Caenorhabditis elegans: one gene and its partners. The protein of the gene in region 1 interacts with the protein of each later gene in a biochemical or structural test. Each region holds a gene or a part of one and is shown in the gene's direction. Other genes may lie near its edges.

Evidence for each region. Proteins that work in one complex are often made in the same cells at the same time.
Region 2: of the proteins of air-2 (region 1) and rec-8, one has a biochemical effect on the other in vitro, tested with the Caenorhabditis elegans proteins (2 studies listed by BioGRID).
Region 3: of the proteins of air-2 (region 1) and ulp-1, one has a biochemical effect on the other in vitro, tested with the Caenorhabditis elegans proteins (one study listed by BioGRID).

Annotation. Positions count from the first base shown.
Region 1 is NC_003279.8:5,935,684-5,939,812, forward strand, and holds air-2 (Aurora/IPL1-related protein kinase 2), read left to right. Parts: upstream 1-1,793; 5' UTR 1,794-1,800; coding exon 1,801-1,868; intron 1,869-1,917; coding exon 1,918-2,026; intron 2,027-2,102; coding exon 2,103-2,470; intron 2,471-2,533; coding exon 2,534-2,807; intron 2,808-2,907; coding exon 2,908-3,006; 3' UTR 3,007-3,193; downstream 3,194-4,129. Other genes in the region: B0207.6 (GPN-loop GTPase 2), read right to left, coding at 1-194, 522-720, 878-985, 1,103-1,261. UniProt on the Caenorhabditis elegans protein: Serine/threonine-protein kinase component of the chromosomal passenger complex (CPC), a complex that acts as a key regulator of chromosome segregation and cytokinesis.
Region 2 is NC_003282.8:13,348,345-13,354,894, reverse strand, and holds rec-8 (Meiotic recombination protein rec-8), read left to right. Parts: upstream 1-1,701; coding exon 1,702-1,754; intron 1,755-1,803; coding exon 1,804-2,003; intron 2,004-2,048; coding exon 2,049-2,245; intron 2,246-2,293; coding exon 2,294-2,409; intron 2,410-2,851; coding exon 2,852-4,296; intron 4,297-4,793; coding exon 4,794-4,941; intron 4,942-5,413; coding exon 5,414-5,511; intron 5,512-5,565; coding exon 5,566-5,654; 3' UTR 5,655-5,773; downstream 5,774-6,550. Other genes in the region: Zinc finger protein mex-5, read right to left, coding at 14-437, 483-1,003, 1,052-1,165; W02A2.9 (Plasma membrane proteolipid 3), read right to left, coding at 6,320-6,439.
Region 3 is NC_003281.10:5,164,882-5,171,418, reverse strand, and holds ulp-1 (Sentrin-specific protease), read left to right. Parts: upstream 1-1,619; 5' UTR 1,620-1,679; coding exon 1,680-1,719; intron 1,720-1,767; coding exon 1,768-1,869; intron 1,870-1,935; coding exon 1,936-2,072; intron 2,073-2,594; coding exon 2,595-2,897; intron 2,898-2,944; coding exon 2,945-3,226; intron 3,227-3,532; coding exon 3,533-3,685; intron 3,686-3,737; coding exon 3,738-3,835; intron 3,836-3,883; coding exon 3,884-4,615; intron 4,616-4,691; coding exon 4,692-4,770; intron 4,771-4,972; coding exon 4,973-5,140; 3' UTR 5,141-5,760; downstream 5,761-6,537. Other genes in the region: prp-19 (Pre-mRNA-processing factor 19), read left to right, coding at 1-364, 428-810, 860-1,063; T10F2.2 (Mitochondrial ornithine transporter 1), read left to right, coding at 6,128-6,362. UniProt on the Caenorhabditis elegans protein: Protease that deconjugates smo-1 from targeted proteins and may catalyze the processing of smo-1 to its mature form.

The DNA of each region.
Region 1 (4,129 bases):
GCTAATAACTCCACAAATTGCTTCATTCAATTTTCGATATTTTTCCAATCCGGGAACTTCATTCAAAAGATCCAAAAGTCGATTGACATCAGGTAAATGGGAGAAAAACTCGAGATCATAGGTCCCGTCTTCAGAGAAAAGATCTGCTTTTGACAGACAGTTTACTTGTGGCATCTCCATTGTTACCATTGTCGCTGAAATTGAAGCTTTTTAATGAATATAATTTTAATTTGTTCCTTTCAGCCACACAAAATTTAAAGTGGTTCCGAATTTCAATTTTTTCCATCTAAAATCAAATAAATAACAAAAATAGGTTTCAGATTAAATGAAAGTTTTATGTGCCAGAAAGATATTGCATTTCTTAGCCAGAAATACATAAAGGCCCATGGAGTTTCAAAATTGTACAGAACAAAAATAAATTTTCATTTTTTGGAGGAAATCAGCTGAATTATATTTGGAAATTTCGGGTCGAGAGACAAGAAAAGTATTTCAATTTTTTTTTAATCTTAATGAACTCTTACCTAATGTGGATAATGCAACAGAAATGAATTTCGATGGGTCACTGCAGTAAAGTGAATCGGCAAGATGTAAGGCACATAGTCTAACACCGGATTTTTCCAAAAAGCGGATAACTTTCCATAGTTCGCCTTCGCTTTTGTATAGTTCCAACTGTCCGGGACAATCAATTATCAGATATTTCTTGTGATTCGCTTCGATTTTCTGAAAAAAGATTTAATTGAATATTAAAACTACAAAGAGGTTAAAAATGATTTCCGATTTTCTCGATTCAAATTTAGAGAATTCCAGATTTTAGCTCAATTGTTGTGAAAACAATTTTTAGCTTTTGAGAATTAACTTTTTCTGCCAAAAAAATTACCTGGAGGAGCCAATTACAATTAGCTCCAAGTGTTTCAATACAGTATTTGAGAGCTCCATTTGGTCCAAGTCCAAGTCGATCCATTACATCATTCACAGTGATCATTTCCTAAACTTTAGTATTTTAAATGAAAAATATGACCTTAAGTATTAAAATAACATTGATAGATGATCTGTACCACGTTTCATAATTATTGTCCTATATTCATTGGAATAAAATACTTACAGTGATATTTACATCAGGTGCGTATGCCATTGTGTCATTAGCAGGATCAAGATTGATAGTGAGAAATGGTCGTTTGGTTTGTGAGAAAATGTCCGTTAATCCTGCACAAAATGTAGATTTTCCAGCTCCAGGAGCTCCAATTACAAGAACTCCGTACATAGTCCAATGAGTACTGAAATTTTCTAGTTGAATCTTAATTTTCTACGGATTGTTTTGATAGGAAAACATTTAAGAAGAACAAAAATATATAAATACAATTTAATTTAATTTAAAACAAACAAAAAAGCAGGATAAACGGGCCTGGCACAGGGCCAAGTACGCATTTACACCGTACATGACGACATATTGCGGACCATTGCATTTTGCCGCGTTAATTTTTTATTTAAACGGCTTGCATTTCTCCTTACTATCCAGCTGACAATTTTTAGTTTCTTTAGAATTATTTGCAATCAAAACTCGTTTTTTGTAAACATATTTACTCAGGTAATGTGTTGATTTCTCACTTTTTTTTGAAATCAAAGCAGAATTAGTCCTATTTTTATTCTACATAAATATCTAAATGTATTCAATTAAAAATTGGGCCATTGAACTTCTAATTAATTCAATTTATAAATTTATCGTGATGTTTTCTTTTAGTTAATTTGTCCTTAATCGTGCCGTCTATTTTATTTCTTCATAAAAAACTTTTCAGTTCCGACATGGAGAATAAGCCACCTGTAATCAACCTTCCAGAGAAGGAAACTGTGAATACTCCACAGAAGGGAGGGTAAGAAATCAAGGTTTTAAAAGTTTATAAATTATTCTTGATTTTACAGAAAATTTACTATTAACGATTTCGAGATCGGAAGACCACTGGGAAAAGGAAAATTCGGCAGTGTTTACCTGGCTCGCACAAAAACTGGACATTTCCATGTAGCGATCAAGGTAACATATTGATTTATTTTGTATTTATTTGAATTATCATTTTTCTGACATCCGTTTTACCCATACATATTTTCAGGTTCTATTCAAATCGCAACTCATCTCAGGAGGCGTCGAGCATCAATTGGAGCGTGAAATTGAGATTCAATCTCATTTGAATCACCCGAATATTATCAAGCTCTACACATATTTTTGGGATGCGAAGAAGATCTATCTCGTTTTGGAATATGCCCCCGGAGGCGAAATGTACAAGCAATTGACAGTGAGCAAGAGATTCTCAGAGCCAACAGCTGCAAAATATATGTATGAGATCGCAGATGCTTTGTCATATTGCCACAGGAAAAATGTGATTCATCGCGACATTAAACCGGAGAATTTGCTTATCGGATCACAAGGAGAATTGAAAATTGGAGATTTTGGATGGAGTGTTCATGCTCCTTCGAATAAGTGAGTTTATCCTCAAATTTAGGAAATCTAGATGTTTCCAAAAATTCACTGTCATGTTTTCAGGCGCCAAACAATGTGCGGAACAATGGACTATCTCCCTCCTGAAATGGTGAATGGAGCCGATCACAGTGACGCAGTTGACTTATGGGCAATCGGCGTTCTCTGCTATGAGTTTCTCGTTGGAAAACCCCCATTCGAGCACGAAGATCAGTCCAAGACATATGCGGCAATCAAAGCGGCACGGTTTACTTACCCTGATTCTGTGAAGAAGGGTGCACGAGATTTGATTGGAAGATTGCTTGTCGTTGATCCCAAGGCTCGCTGTACGCTTGAACAGGTTTGTTATTGATTTCAGCTTAGTGGCCAACATATTATCAGCACACAGAAGTACACTTTTGTAGTGTTCTTAATTATCATAATTCATTAAATTATTACAGGTGAAGGAACACTACTGGATCCAGGGAATGATGGAGGCAAAAATTAGAGCTGAGAAGCAGCAAAAGATTGAAAAAGAAGCAAGTCTTCGGAATCACTGATCAACTACTGATTTTCCCGTCCTTCTTTCAATCATCTCGTCTGTCTGTCAAATAAAGGATCTCATCACATTTACTAGAAATTTTAAAAAGTGAAATAACTTGTCAACCAATTTTTCATGTAGTTTTTGTTTCGCGAACTCTATTATTCCCAATCGTCTAACCCCATTCATTCAACATAAATTTATTTTCTTTTCTCGTTCTCCATCTTTCTCAATATATCTACAACAACTCAATTAGTACCTCCCGAGATTTTCTCCTTTTTCAGATGTCGCGTAGACTCGCACTCGGAGCAGCTGCTTCTTTTCGTTGAGGTTCATTTGCATTTTTAGATTTTTGAGAAAAAAAAAAAAATAAAATTTAAAAGCGACAAGAAAATTTCGATTTTCTTTAGGATTATTTTATCACACCGTGCGACTTTATAGTCCCAAAAGGAAAAATAACAACTAAGCTTAGTACTGAGTACACTTGAAATTTCAAAACATGAGGTTTTTGAAATTCACGTGCTCCAACAATTTCAAGCACTTCTTGTGCCCTTTTTAAGTCCTCGAAAACTTATAATTTTTTCAGTAAGTGGTGCGGGGACATTTTCAAAAAGTTGTTTTTCTCAAACAAAGCATATTTCACAAGATGTCATTCTGGACAACAAAAAATTAAATTAAATTTTTAAATTACAGGGAACTTTTACCGATTAAGCGCGGGCGGTGTAATTATAGGTTTCGATGATGTGGTACTTTGGCTATAATTTAGTTATACAACTAGAATTTTCTAATTTTTTTATTTTCTTTCGAGATTTCTGAGAACACATTTTTATTTGAGAACTCATGCTAATTGCTGAACCGTTTTCTCCGATTTCTTCAAAAATCTCACATTTTTTGTCTGATTAAGAAAATTAAAGTTTCATTTTTCACTTGTGAATAACGCATCTTTTGAAATCAGAATGCAATCGCGCTCCAACGCCAAATAGAAAGACTCCGCCCCGATAATTTGGGTCTCGTTAGGTATTTGCGGAAAATACGTAAATGTATTATTTTTCCAAAATTTTCATTCAGTTTCGTTGATTTCACTCGTTTTCAATCATTTTTTCGTGAAATTTTGTTGTTCATTTTATTATAGCAAAATATAG
Region 2 (6,550 bases), on another chromosome or scaffold:
AGTGGAAACTCACATATGGAGGAATATTCTGGAATTCCTTGTCCGTTGGATGAACAAACTCGCAACGAAGTCCATACGGGCAGAATCCAGTTCCTCCACGCGCAAAGTTCTTGCACAGCTTTGTCTTGTACTTGTTGTTCGGATAGCGAGCCGGAGCATCAGTAGCTCTGAGCTCTTTGAGCCCATGAGCAAACTTGCATCGAGCACCCATATCACATGGTTTGATTCCAGATGCGTGCATCATGCAAAGACGAGTCTTGTAGTTGGGTGGTTGTTGACTGTCAGTTTCTGGAATTGGGAATCCACGACGACCGAACTTCTCGCCACGATGTTCATGGAAATGATTTTCCTTTTCAGCGCTCATCGTGTCATCGTTGTGATTGTCAAGGGTGATCTTTGAGATCTCATCGATCGGCAACTCGTCATGCTCCATAACACTGAAAAACATATAATTTTTATATTAAATTTCAAACTAATATTACCGATGATATCTGAATTGGATGTTCCTGTTGCGATTATCACGCTGAACAGTCTCGTATTCGAGACTTGTTGGAAGAGGAGTAGACGAGGTCAATGGAGCTGTGCGTGTGCTACTAATCTCCACTCCCACTTGTCTTGGCTGTTGTTGAGGTGGAATTGCCGGCTGCGTATGTGGCATCACACCCATTTGTTCTGGAAGCATCGGTGCGGCTTGCATAGGATGGAAGTACATTGGAGCCGCTTGTGGAGCCATTGATTGTTGATAATAGATGAGCTGTGGTTGTCCTGACTGCATGACTTGCTGAGCTCCTTGTTGTGGTTGAGCCATATAGAGATACGGTTGACCAGAAACCATCATGTGCTGTTGAGGAGCCATTGATCCGTTCGCGGGAACCTGCACATACTGTCCGTTGGCATCTTGATAATATGGAGCCGCTGGGGCGTACTGTTGAGAAGATCCATTTTGTGCCGCATACGTCGCCATTGGCTGGTTCGGCATGGCAGCCGCGAAGTAGTACTGCATCTGAAAAATATAACTGTAATATTATCAACATTTGTTGATTGTGAATACCTGTTGATCGTAGATTTGAGGATGTGACGACTGCCCTGGTGGTAGTGGTGGCTGGGTTGTCGTAGGTGACACTGATCCTCCGGCCGACGAGACACTATTTGATGCCGCTTTCATTCTCTGTCTGAAACATTCAATTGATTATCGATAAAATTAATTAAGAGAGAATACAATGAGAAAACGGAAAATCGAGCAGGATTTTGGGGAAAGTCGGGGAATTTTTGCTATTTAAGCTTTCTTTAACAAAGAAACTGCATTTTTCCATGAGATTACCATGAAATTTGCGTTAAATGGGTGAATTTATAACATTTACGGCTAGAAATTAATTTTAAAAAAGAGAATAAACGAAAAATTATTCGAGAAAACGTCTTTGAAGCAGAAATGAAATGAAAAAACAACCGCCAGCGCTGACAAAAATGATCAAACAAACGGAGTACGGTATACGCGGTAAGACCCAAATGAATTTTAATTCGGTGCGCCTTTAAAAAATGTATTTTTTTAATTTCTTTATCCGTGGGCCCAAATGTATTTTTTTCTTGTGGTTTGATGTAAAAATTGGGTTATATTATTTGTTTTATGGTTTAATTTTTTAAAAACTGATATTTTGCCGTTGTGAAAACCGTAAAATCAGTCGAAAATGTATTTTCTTGCAGATGGTTGTCTCTGCGGAAGTAATTCGAAAAGATGCCGTGTTTCACGTGGCTTGGTGAGTTTTCTCATCTTTTCAATCTAATTTATAATTTCTGCTTTTCCAGGATTCTTGGTACCGGCGACTCGAAAAAGCTGTCACGAAGAGAGATTTTGGACCAAAATCTCCCGGAACTGTGTCATTCAATCATTGAAATGGTTCCCGAACGGCACAGGGGCTCAGCAACAAAAACTGGACTTTATTTGCTATCCCTGCTCACATATGGAACAGTTTTGATCCATCAAGTTCAGGTTGATTTCTTGAAACGTGAGTTGGAGAATTGTATCGTCAGAAATCAATTAATATTTTCAGGAGACGTCGAGAAGCTCAAAGAGCTCATGAAGAAGAAAAGTTTCATTTTGCTGATGGCTGAAAGGTTCGACAGAAACCAAGAGTTGCAGAGAAAAGAAGATAAATTCGCAAGACTGAGATCTAAGCCTATTATGTGCGTCGAGGAGTTGGATCGGGTTGATTTGGCTCATTTACAAGCAATTGGCGACGAATTGGGAGTGAGTTCAAGTTAATTAAATAATCAATAATCAAGAATATTCTTCTAGATCAATGGAAATCCAGGAGACTTTATAATGATGGATGCGTTGCCCAACATGAATCAGTGGATTGACAATAATTCAGAATTGAATGCGATCTATGGATGTGTTGAGCCTTACCTGAGGTTCGGAACTGAATAATCGATCCCAGATTTTGAAAAAAAGCAGCGACGCACATGAACCCTGCGGCACGGTTTTTCACCTTATTTCAATAAAATTTCGATTTTCCTTGATTTATTCGCATTTTGCGTATGAAAATGCTATCCAATTAAATTTGCATAAGATTGCGAGGATATTTCCTGTTTTTACAACCAATGAAGCTCTAAATATCCTTATAATCTTATGAGAATTTATGCGGATTGCATTTCCATTCGAAAAAAAGAGAATAAACCAATTACAATCGAAATTTTATTTTAAAAAAATCAACAAAAGCTCTGAAAAAACCGTGCCACAGGGTAGAGAAATTACACTCCGCCTCTATTTCTGTGCGACATTGCTTTTTGCAAAATTGATGGATTGATAGTTTAATTTTAAATTAATTTCAAAAGTAAAATTTTCGTGTTTCAGAGAAAAAGAAATCACCATGCACTCCACGTTTGTCGAGGGTAACGGTTCAAATGAGCACAACAAGGAACGACGAAATGACGCGGTAATTGCCGACTTCAGCCAACTTTTGTTCCCTGAGATCCCTGAAATCACACTTGGCGAGAAATTTCCGATAGATGTCGATTCCAGAAAACGATCTGCTATCCTCCAGGAAGAGCAAGAAGAGGCTCTTCAGCTCCCCAAAGAAGCTTCTGAAATTGTGCAAGAAGAGCCTACAAAATTTGTCTCTATTGCTCTGCTCCCGAGTGAAACCGTGGAACAACCAGCACCCCAGGAGCCTATTCAAGAGCCCATTCAACCAATTATCGAGGAGCCCGCGCCACAGCTTGAGCTTCCACAGCCAGAGCTTCCACCACAACTAGATGCAATTGATCTTGTCACCATTCCAGCGAGTCAGCAGGATATGGTTGTTGAATATCTTCAATTGATCAACGATTTACCCGATGACGAGAACAGCCGACTGCCACCATTGCCGAAAGATTTAGAATTGTTTGAAGATGTAATTCTACCACCTCCAGCAAAGAAATCAAAAGTCGAAGAGGAAGAAGACGCGTTGGAAAGAGCACGAAGAAGACCATCATCGCGTCCAGTAACTCCGATTAATCAAACCGATTTGACAGATCTTCATTCAACTGTGCGACCGGAAGATCCGAGTTTCGCAATAGACTCCCAAATTCATGATGTTCTACCTCAACGGAAAAAATCGAAACGCAATCTGCCGATCATCCACAGCGATGATCTGGAAATCGACGAAGCTGTGCAAAAAGTGTTACAAGCCGATTATTCCTCACTGGTTCGTAAGAAGGAGGATGTAATAGCAAAGATTCCACCAAAAACGGATGCAGTCGCGGTGCTCATGAACTTACCAGAACCAGTTTTCAGTATCGGATATCGTCTTCCTCCAGAGGTTCGGGATATGTTCAAAGCTTGTTATAATCAAGCTGTTGGAAGTCCAGTGAGCGATGATGAAGAGGATGAAGATGAGGAAGAAGAGGAAGAATATAAATATGCAAAAGTTTGTCTTCTGTCTCCAAATCGCATCGTTGAGGATACTCTACTTCTAGAAGAGCAACCTCGTCAACCTGAAGAATTTCCATCTACGGATAATATCAACCCGCCAAGACAGCTACAGGAGAATCCAGTTTTTGAGAATTTGGAATATGAAGCGCCCCCGCATCCAATAAGAACTGCTCGTACGCCCACGCCGATCAAAGATTTGAAATATTCAGTTATTAGTCTGTTCCCAACTCCAGAGAAACGCCGGGAGACGAGCATCATTGCTGAACTGAATTTGGATCCTATTCCAGTTGAAGAAATTGATCCACTTTTGACGATGAGAACCGAAGAAGAACTTGAAAATGTTCGACGCCGTCAAAAAAGCAGTTTAGGGGTTCAATTTATGAGAAGTGAGATATTTTAATGTCGATTTAGTGTTGAAAATAATTTTTGCCGAAAATTGCCGAAAATGTTTAAATTGGGCAGTTCTCGAATTACCAAAAAAAAATTCCAATTTTCGGAATAAAAGGTCAAAAATGTTTCGATTTTTTCCTCGAAAATCGAAAATTCTTACATTTTCAGAGAATGAACGATAAAAATCACATTAAATCATAAAATCAATTTTTTTTTTGCTCATAAAAAAAATAAGAAAACATATAATTTTATTCTTTAGAATATCTTGGATTTCTTTAGGTAGAAAATGACCAAAATTGTTTTAAAAAAATAAGCAAACCGATGGTTTGTGTCGGGCTTTTGGTTTTTTTTTTACTAAAGTAAAAAACATTATTTTTGGATTTTTGAAAAATCGAGAATTTTCGTTGTTCGATTTTTTTGTTATACTCGCCGATTATTTTTCAAACTTTCGGTTGTCGCCCCCACTTTATAGTTTAAAATAAAATATTTTCAGCTGACGATCTGGAAGAGGATACTCGCCGTAATCGACTATTCGAGGATGAAGAACGGACTCGAGATGCTAGAGAAGATGAACTATTCTTCTATTCATCTGGAAGTCTCCTTCCCAATAATCGGCTCAACATCCACAAGGAATTGCTCAAGTGTGTATACTAACACTAAAACAGAAAGATCGACCTGCAAATTTTGCAAGGCGCCGCACACAAAATGAGGCGGAGCGTCGTTTTTTTAAACTTGCGGCTCGCCAGCCATTGTGGAAAACTGTAAATAAATTTTTGTCTAAAATGCTTGATTTCGGATAATTTTCGCTTATTTTTTTGTGTTTAATATTCGAAATAATCTAAAAATTTGGAGTTTATTCAACGAAAATTTGCCATTTTCGCCGGAAAAATACCATAAATAGTCAGTTTATTTCGAATATTAACAACAACGAAATTAGCGAAAATATTCCGAAATCCAGAATTTTCGCGAAAAATTATTTCATAGTTGTCCACGAGCCGCAGGCTTGCAGAACAACACCCCGCCTCTTTTTCTGTGCGACGCATTGGCAGGTCAATCGCTCAGTTTTGATCGTAATTGGAACTACGAAAAATCAAAAAAAAATCAATTTTTCAGCGAAGCAGAAGCAAGATATCCAGAATGGGTGAATTTCAATGAATTCACTGCGGATCACGATCGTAAAAAGGCAGCAACCGCCTTTGAGGGCCTTCTTTGTAAGATATTTAGTCGTTGAGACACAAATTAAAATAAAAATAAATATTTTTCAGTGAGTCTCAAGAATATGAAGGTTGAAGCGAAGCAAGAAGATCCTTATTTTCCAATTCTAGTACGTCACATCAGCCACGAAGAAATGTGAAGCTGCTAATATAATTGATACTGTATCATTTCCCAATTTTTCATAGCTTCCATTGTTTTGTTGTATTTTATTGCTTTGCCTTGTTCGTTAATCTTTAAAACTGAAAACTACTGTACCATTCATTTTTTTAACTTTTTTTCCTGTTGTTAAACGACTCTAGCTAGGGCTGTTATGAGGGACGAAAAGGGGCGCCCCTCGTCCCCTCGTGGGGGCGCTTCCTTCATCCAGTGCGAAAAATGTGCGTTTGTATCCTCCATGTCGATAGCAAAACAAGTTATGATTTTGCTTCATAATTATTAAAGTGACACGTTTTTTGTGTGGAATATCCACGATGGACCCGCACAATTTAACGGAAACGAGTTTCACGTAAAAATATTTTAAATGAGGTGAATATCTAATATAAGTAAAAATGAATAGGACGCGACTTTTCGTCACATCGGGGACGAGGGTCGTCCCCCATCCCCCAACCAGGGGACGGGGGCGTCCCTCGCCCCCATGAGGGGGACGAATGATCGCCCCCGCCCCCCAAAAAGGGACGTCCCTCATAACAGCCCTAACTCTAGCTAATAAAAATTGGTAGGAAATACAAAATATTAATTTATGAAAACGTGAATAATATGACCCGGGTGAGTATATAAAATATAATTATTTATATGAAATCAAGGTTAGTACCAACAAATAATGAAGCAAGCGTGGATGACTCCGGGTATGAAGCCGAGAATTGTGAGCACAATATTGATGACCAAGTCGGCTCCGCATCCTTTTTCCATCCAAACACCAATTGGCTGCAATTTGAAACTTTTTTTCGAATTTTTGAATACCTGCGCCTTTGAACGCTACAGCTTTACAGTTTTAAATGAAAATTGCATTTATTCAAAAGTGTTGTGCACGCGCCT
Region 3 (6,537 bases), on another chromosome or scaffold:
CGTAAACAACGAGGAAAAAATCTTCCTGAAGGACTTGCCAAAACAGAAGAGCTCGCCGAGCTGAAACAGACAGCATCTCACACTGGAATTCATTCGACTGGAACTCCTGGAATTACTGCATTGGATATCAAGGGAAATTTGTCACTTACCGGAGGAATTGATAAAACCGTTGTCTTGTATGACTATGAAAAGGAACAGGTTATGCAAACATTCAAGGGGCATAACAAGAAGATCAACGCAGTTGTTTTGCATCCGGATAATATTACTGCAATCTCTGCTTCTGCTGATTCACATATTAGAGTCTGGAGTGCAACTGATTCGTCTTCGAAGGCTATTATTGATGTCCATCAGGCACCCGTTACAGGTGAGATATTTGAAAAAAATTCGCTAGCTGTAATTCTTCTATTGAACAAACAATGTTTTACAGATATCTCCCTCAATGCATCCGGTGATTACATTCTCTCCGCTTCTGATGATTCTTACTGGGCATTCTCCGACATTCGTTCCGGAAAATCGCTTTGCAAGGTTTCAGTTGAACCAGGATCACAAATTGCCGTTCATTCCATCGAGTTCCATCCTGATGGTCTTATTTTTGGAACTGGAGCTGCGGATGCCGTTGTGAAGATTTGGGATTTGAAGAATCAAACCGTGGCTGCTGCATTCCCGGGACATACTGCTGCCGTTCGTTCGATTGCGTTTTCTGAAAACGGATATTATTTGGCTACGGGATCAGAGGATGGAGAGGTCAAATTATGGGATCTTAGAAAATTGAAGAATCTGAAAACTTTCGCTAACGAAGAGAAACAACCGGTAAGAAATTGTTAAGCAAATGTTTAATGAAAAAATATAATTTTTTCAGATCAACTCCCTGTCCTTCGACATGACTGGAACATTCCTAGGAATTGGTGGCCAAAAAGTTCAAGTTTTGCATGTGAAGAGCTGGAGTGAAGTTGTATCACTTTCTGATCATTCTGGACCAGTCACTGGAGTTAGATTCGGAGAAAATGCTCGTTCATTGGTGACGTGTTCATTGGATAAGAGTCTCCGAGTATTCTCTTTCTAATTGTTTTTATTACCATTTATTACTAAGTTATTCAAAATTTCACCACATTTTTCCCGTTTCGTTTCCTTGTTTTTTTTGTATTCCGGATTGTTCAGTCAAGTTGAAAATATTCCCATCTATAGAAAAGCTGACAAACTATTATTCTTTCTCCATCTCTCGTTACCATATATTATCGATTCCAAAAATTCTCCTTTTCACTGTGAATCAACAAAAAAAAAAGAGTTGATTGGCTGTCTTCCTGTGGTGAGATCTCTTTCTATTTTTATCTATTGGATTTTATTTTGTTCACATTTATCTTTTTAACAGTTCAACTTTTCTCCAGATTCCCCAAATTTTATTCATTTCATTCAAAAATGATCTGCAGCCAATCTCCTCCGCTTCTATCCCATTCATCTATTCTTTTATTAAAAGTAATTTATGCAATAATTGAATGATTACGTACTGCCTAGAGGTTAATTGCCTTCTTTATTTTGGCTGAAAAACTTAAAATGTTGCCCTTTGTGATAGTATTTACTATAGCAAAAATCTTTTAAAGCAGCTAAAAACTATATTTCAGGATAGCTACTTGAATCTGGAACATCAAAAATAGACGATATTCGATTGAAAGAGAAACGGAATGTCACGTAGGTCTGATTTATCAGACAAAGACTCTCAATGTAGGAGAAGTGAATGAAAAATAAGCTGAAATTAATTAAAATATTTAGCAAGAAAACGACATTGGTTAACCGATCAAGCTGTTACAAACGAAGAAAAAGAGCAGTCGCCAACAAAAAGAACCAGAAAAACGAAATCTCAAGGATTGGGTGGTGAGTGAATCCTTTTCCTTGATCCATAAAAGTATAAATTTGAAATAGCGATCTTCAACATTTCAGGGCTTTTCAATACCTTCTTCGGAATGTTCGTAAGCAGTAATTCGGGAGAAAAGGAGAAAACTGAAGTTTCGGGCGAAGTTCAAGTTCAAGAGGATGATGAAATTATAGTGGAAGGAACGACGAGGAGAGTTGCTGAGGTATATTTTGAGAATAAATTAACTTTCGGAGTTAAGTTCAGCAAATACCGTATATTCTCTATTAGTGCTGCATGCAGCACTAATTTCCAGGCCCTTTTTTAATGCAGCACTATTAGAGACTGCAGTACTACTGGAGACTGCAGCATTAATTTTCGAACGGCTATTTTCAATTATAGATCACTAGTTTTTAATCACAAAACCTCATATTTTAAGCAGAAATTCATAAAAATTGCGAACTTTTGTAAAAAAAAGACCCAATAATTCAATTACTTTCCTAAATTATCAAAAAATCATAAAATATACAAAAAAATACCCAAAAATATCGAAACTGTCAAGTGACTCTTTCAATAGAAAATGGGGTGCAGCACTAATAGAGACTGCAGCACTATTTTTCGGACCCTTTTTGAATGCAGCACTATTAGAGACTGCAGTACTACTGGAGATGCAGCACTAATAGAGAATATACGGTATATAAACCCCCCCCCCCCCCCCCCTAACTAAACATGACCACAGTTGTTACAGAACAAGAAATATATGATTTTTCTGAACGAAGATGCACCTGTGAGAGCCAATGCTGGATCAGAGGAAAATGAAGTTATCATTGAGAAACATGTTCAAAAAAACGTTGAAATTCGGAATGACGAAGAAAAACAAGAAGTTCAAGGAGATTTAGTGCTCACCTTATCATCTTCCCCAAAGTCGCCAAAAAATTTGGAAAAGTCATTTGAAGTACAACAGGATGATGAGGAACCAGACGTTCTTTTCGAGAAAGTAGTCAAGACACCAAATAAGCAATTGCAAGAAGCAAGACGATTTCAGAATGAGGTATTAGTATTCGAATAATTCTATTATAATAAATTATCAAACTTTAGTTGATCTTTCTCAACGACAATCCAGACACACCAGACGATGTATCAGTTATTTCTGACTCTAGGAGCAAAGAATTTATCTCACCGACACCCGATGACAGTGTTAGTCGTCCGATTACTCCGAGCTTATCATCATTATCAAATTACACATCAAATAATGTTCGTGATTATTGGAGACGGAATTCTGCTAAAAAGCCAGAGGTTTTGAGACGGGTCCCTGTTAGACATCAATTTAAGCACTCAACTTCTGTTCGGAAAATGAACACGATTATTGATTTAAAGAAGGTAATTATTTCTTTATGAAGCAGAGAAACTAATGTGAGAAATTACAATTTTCAGTGTATCAAACTGAAGCTTCAGAAATTAATTCTAAATGCCAAAAACTTCTTATTATTAAACTTTATAGGTTTTTTTAAAAACCATTTTGGAAGATTTTTCTTCCCAAATGGTCCGCAAAACCTACAAGATTCAATTTTTTAACATTAAAATTGATTTTGGAACGGATACATTAGACGATTTTGTTATTTAGAATTAATTTCGGTCCACTGTTTTTATAGATAATTATTTATTTTTAAGGTTTAATTATTTCAGATAAAAAATCACCTGTCATCTCGCGATCGACTTCTTCAAGGAGTTGTTGCAAGTGGACAATACGAAGCTAAAGCGATTTCTGGAATTGTTGAAAAAAAACCGAAGAAAATGCAGAGAACATCATCAACTGACATATTAGCCAGAGCGAAGAATGTATGTTCAGGATATTACTGTTATTTAAAACTTTCTGATCTTTTTTCTTCAGAAAATCGCAGAATTGGGAGGATCCCGAAGCAACACCCCTTCACTCTTATCAAGAGAACCATCCATCATCATTGATAGCGAAGAGTCCACTTCTTCAAGGTATTTATTTAAGTTTTTCATCAATTCAAGCAATAATATAAATTTAAGTTACCGCCAACACGCCCGATCAAATTCGTCGGAATCTGATTCATACAGGAAACTCAATGATATTCTCTCGCAAATTAATAGCCTTGGAATCGGTTCCGCATATCGAGGACCGCAGAGATATCAGAATTCTTATCAATTGTCGAAGCAGAAGGAGGATAAACTTCTAGAAGAGGCTCGGATACGAGAAGGACATCGCTCTCAAACAAGAGGTGATCGATTGGAAGATGTTCGGAAGAGACTTGAATTGCAAGGAATCGCTATTCGTCCGAAGGTGGAGAAGAAGAAAGTTGATGATTTTATGGCTTTACCTGATGCTGCTGATGCTCTTGTAGAAAGAGCATGGAGCGGAGGGAATCCAAATGAACAATTTGTGGATGCATTCAGCATTCAGATCTGTAAAAAAGATCTTGCAACATTGAGTGGATTGCATTGGCTGAATGATGAGATCATCAATTTCTATCTTCAATTGATTTGTGATCGGAGCAATGGCGATTCGAAATATCCAAAGATCTATGCATTCAACACATTCTTTTATTCCAATATTGTTTCAAAAGGATACGCGAGTGTGAAACGATGGACAAGAAAAGTCGATATCTTTGCATTCGACATCGTTTTGGTGCCAGTTCATCTTGGAATGCATTGGTGTATGGCTGTTATCGATATGGGCGAAAAGAAGATTGAGTTTTATGACTCTCTTTATGATGGAAATACAGCCGTTTTGCCAGCATTGCGGTTAGTTTTTTGAGTGTTTTTGGTTTTTATTTAAAAAACTCACAGAGAATATATCAATAAATATTTTATATTTCAGAGGTTACTTGGAAGCTGAATCATTGGATAAGAAAAAGACAGCAATGAACTTTTCTGGATGGACAATTCAACAGATGACGGTATATTGAATTTTAAAAAAATTAAATAAAAAAAAGGATTTTTACTTTAAATTTATTTCTGAAAAAAAGTTTTTTTTTAGAAGTCCAGATGTTTGGCTCAATCACTCTTTTTTTGATATCTATGCTCTCTAAAACAACCAGTAATACTTCTGAAATTACACACACAAAAAGATCTTCAACACGCGATAATCATCTTGTTTAGGACATTCCTCGTCAACAAAATGGCAGTGACTGTGGAGTATTCTCATGCCAATTCGGTGAATGGGCATCTCGACGAACGACGCCTCGCTTCACGCAGAAAAATATGCCATACTACAGAAAGCGAATGGTTTACGAGATTGTTTCGAAGAAGTTACTCGCAACTATTTGATTCTAGAAGATTAAAAGTGTCATAATTCATAGTTTTGTTTCCGGAAAAGTAGCTGTAAAATGTATTTTCTTCTCATTGGGCATAATTAAAACTTATATTTTGTCGGTGTCGTAAGCCCGAATCATCTAGAAAGTCTTTAATTTTCTGTATTTCGAATTAACCATATTTCCCATTTTCGTAGCATTTCTTCATTATCCAAAATATCGTTGTGATTCTCATCACTAATTATAACTTTTGATTTCATTTCATACCGTGTAAAGAATGTTCATACAAAAGATTAAAGATGATCGACGGTGTCAGATCACATCACATTATCACTTGTCACGTGGTCATTCTCAGATGACGTTGTTTTGTTTCAAAAGGTGATGCAAACTTTCCCATCCCGTTTTTAAGATTTTTTTGTCTCTGTGGATCTCTGGCCTTTTTTCTCTTTTCTCTTTTTCATTCTTCCTTTTATCCGAGTTTTATTTGATTTTTGACGTATTTATTAACAATTTTCTCTCCCTTCCACCTTTCAATTCCCAGTTCAATAATATCAATCAGCTTTCTCTGTTATATCAATATATTTCACTCCCGATCCCCGTCACCATTGCAAGTTGCAATAAATACAATTTCTTCACTTTTTTTTCGTTGAAATTTATTTTTTTTTCTTCTTGGTTTTATTTTCAACCTCATGGTTATATATTTTGAAGTTTATACAGATTCAATGTTTTATTTTCTAAACAGAGGAAATTTAAATCCTCCTTTATTGTGCTCATCGTGATCACAAAGTCACAAAAAATTTAACTTCCCAAAACCAAAAGAAATTGTCGTTTTGTTTTCCTCCTCACGACTCAAAAGTTAAATTTTTTGTTTTTTGGTCCGAAAAACCAACAAAACCAGCTATTTAGCAAACAAGAAAAAATGATCGTGATCTAAATTTTCTGGAAATTTTCAAAACCATTTCTTCCAATTTTTGTTATTTCAGAAAATAAAATAGATAGAAATATGCATGAAAGCGGTGAACCTACAACTGCAACGGGTGATGCTTCAGCCAATCATTTTAAAGATGGAATTATCGATTTATTGGCTGGAACAGCTGGTGGAATTGCCAACGTGTATGCTGGACAACCATTAGATACAGTTAAAGTAAAAGTACAAACATTCCCGAATCTCTATTCAAATTGGATTGTTTGTCTCAAGGATACTTATAAATTGGACGGAATTCGAGGACTTTACGCTGGTTTGTTATTTTTGTTTCGAAAATTTTGAGCTTAGTCTGGATTTCTGAATCTAAAAAAAGAAAAACAATCCTTTGTACTGAACACGTTCCATGCAACTATAAAAAAGAGTACTTCTTGAAGTAAAAATTCTCACCCTTTCTGGGAAGAACAATATAACGTGTTTTCAAAAAAAAC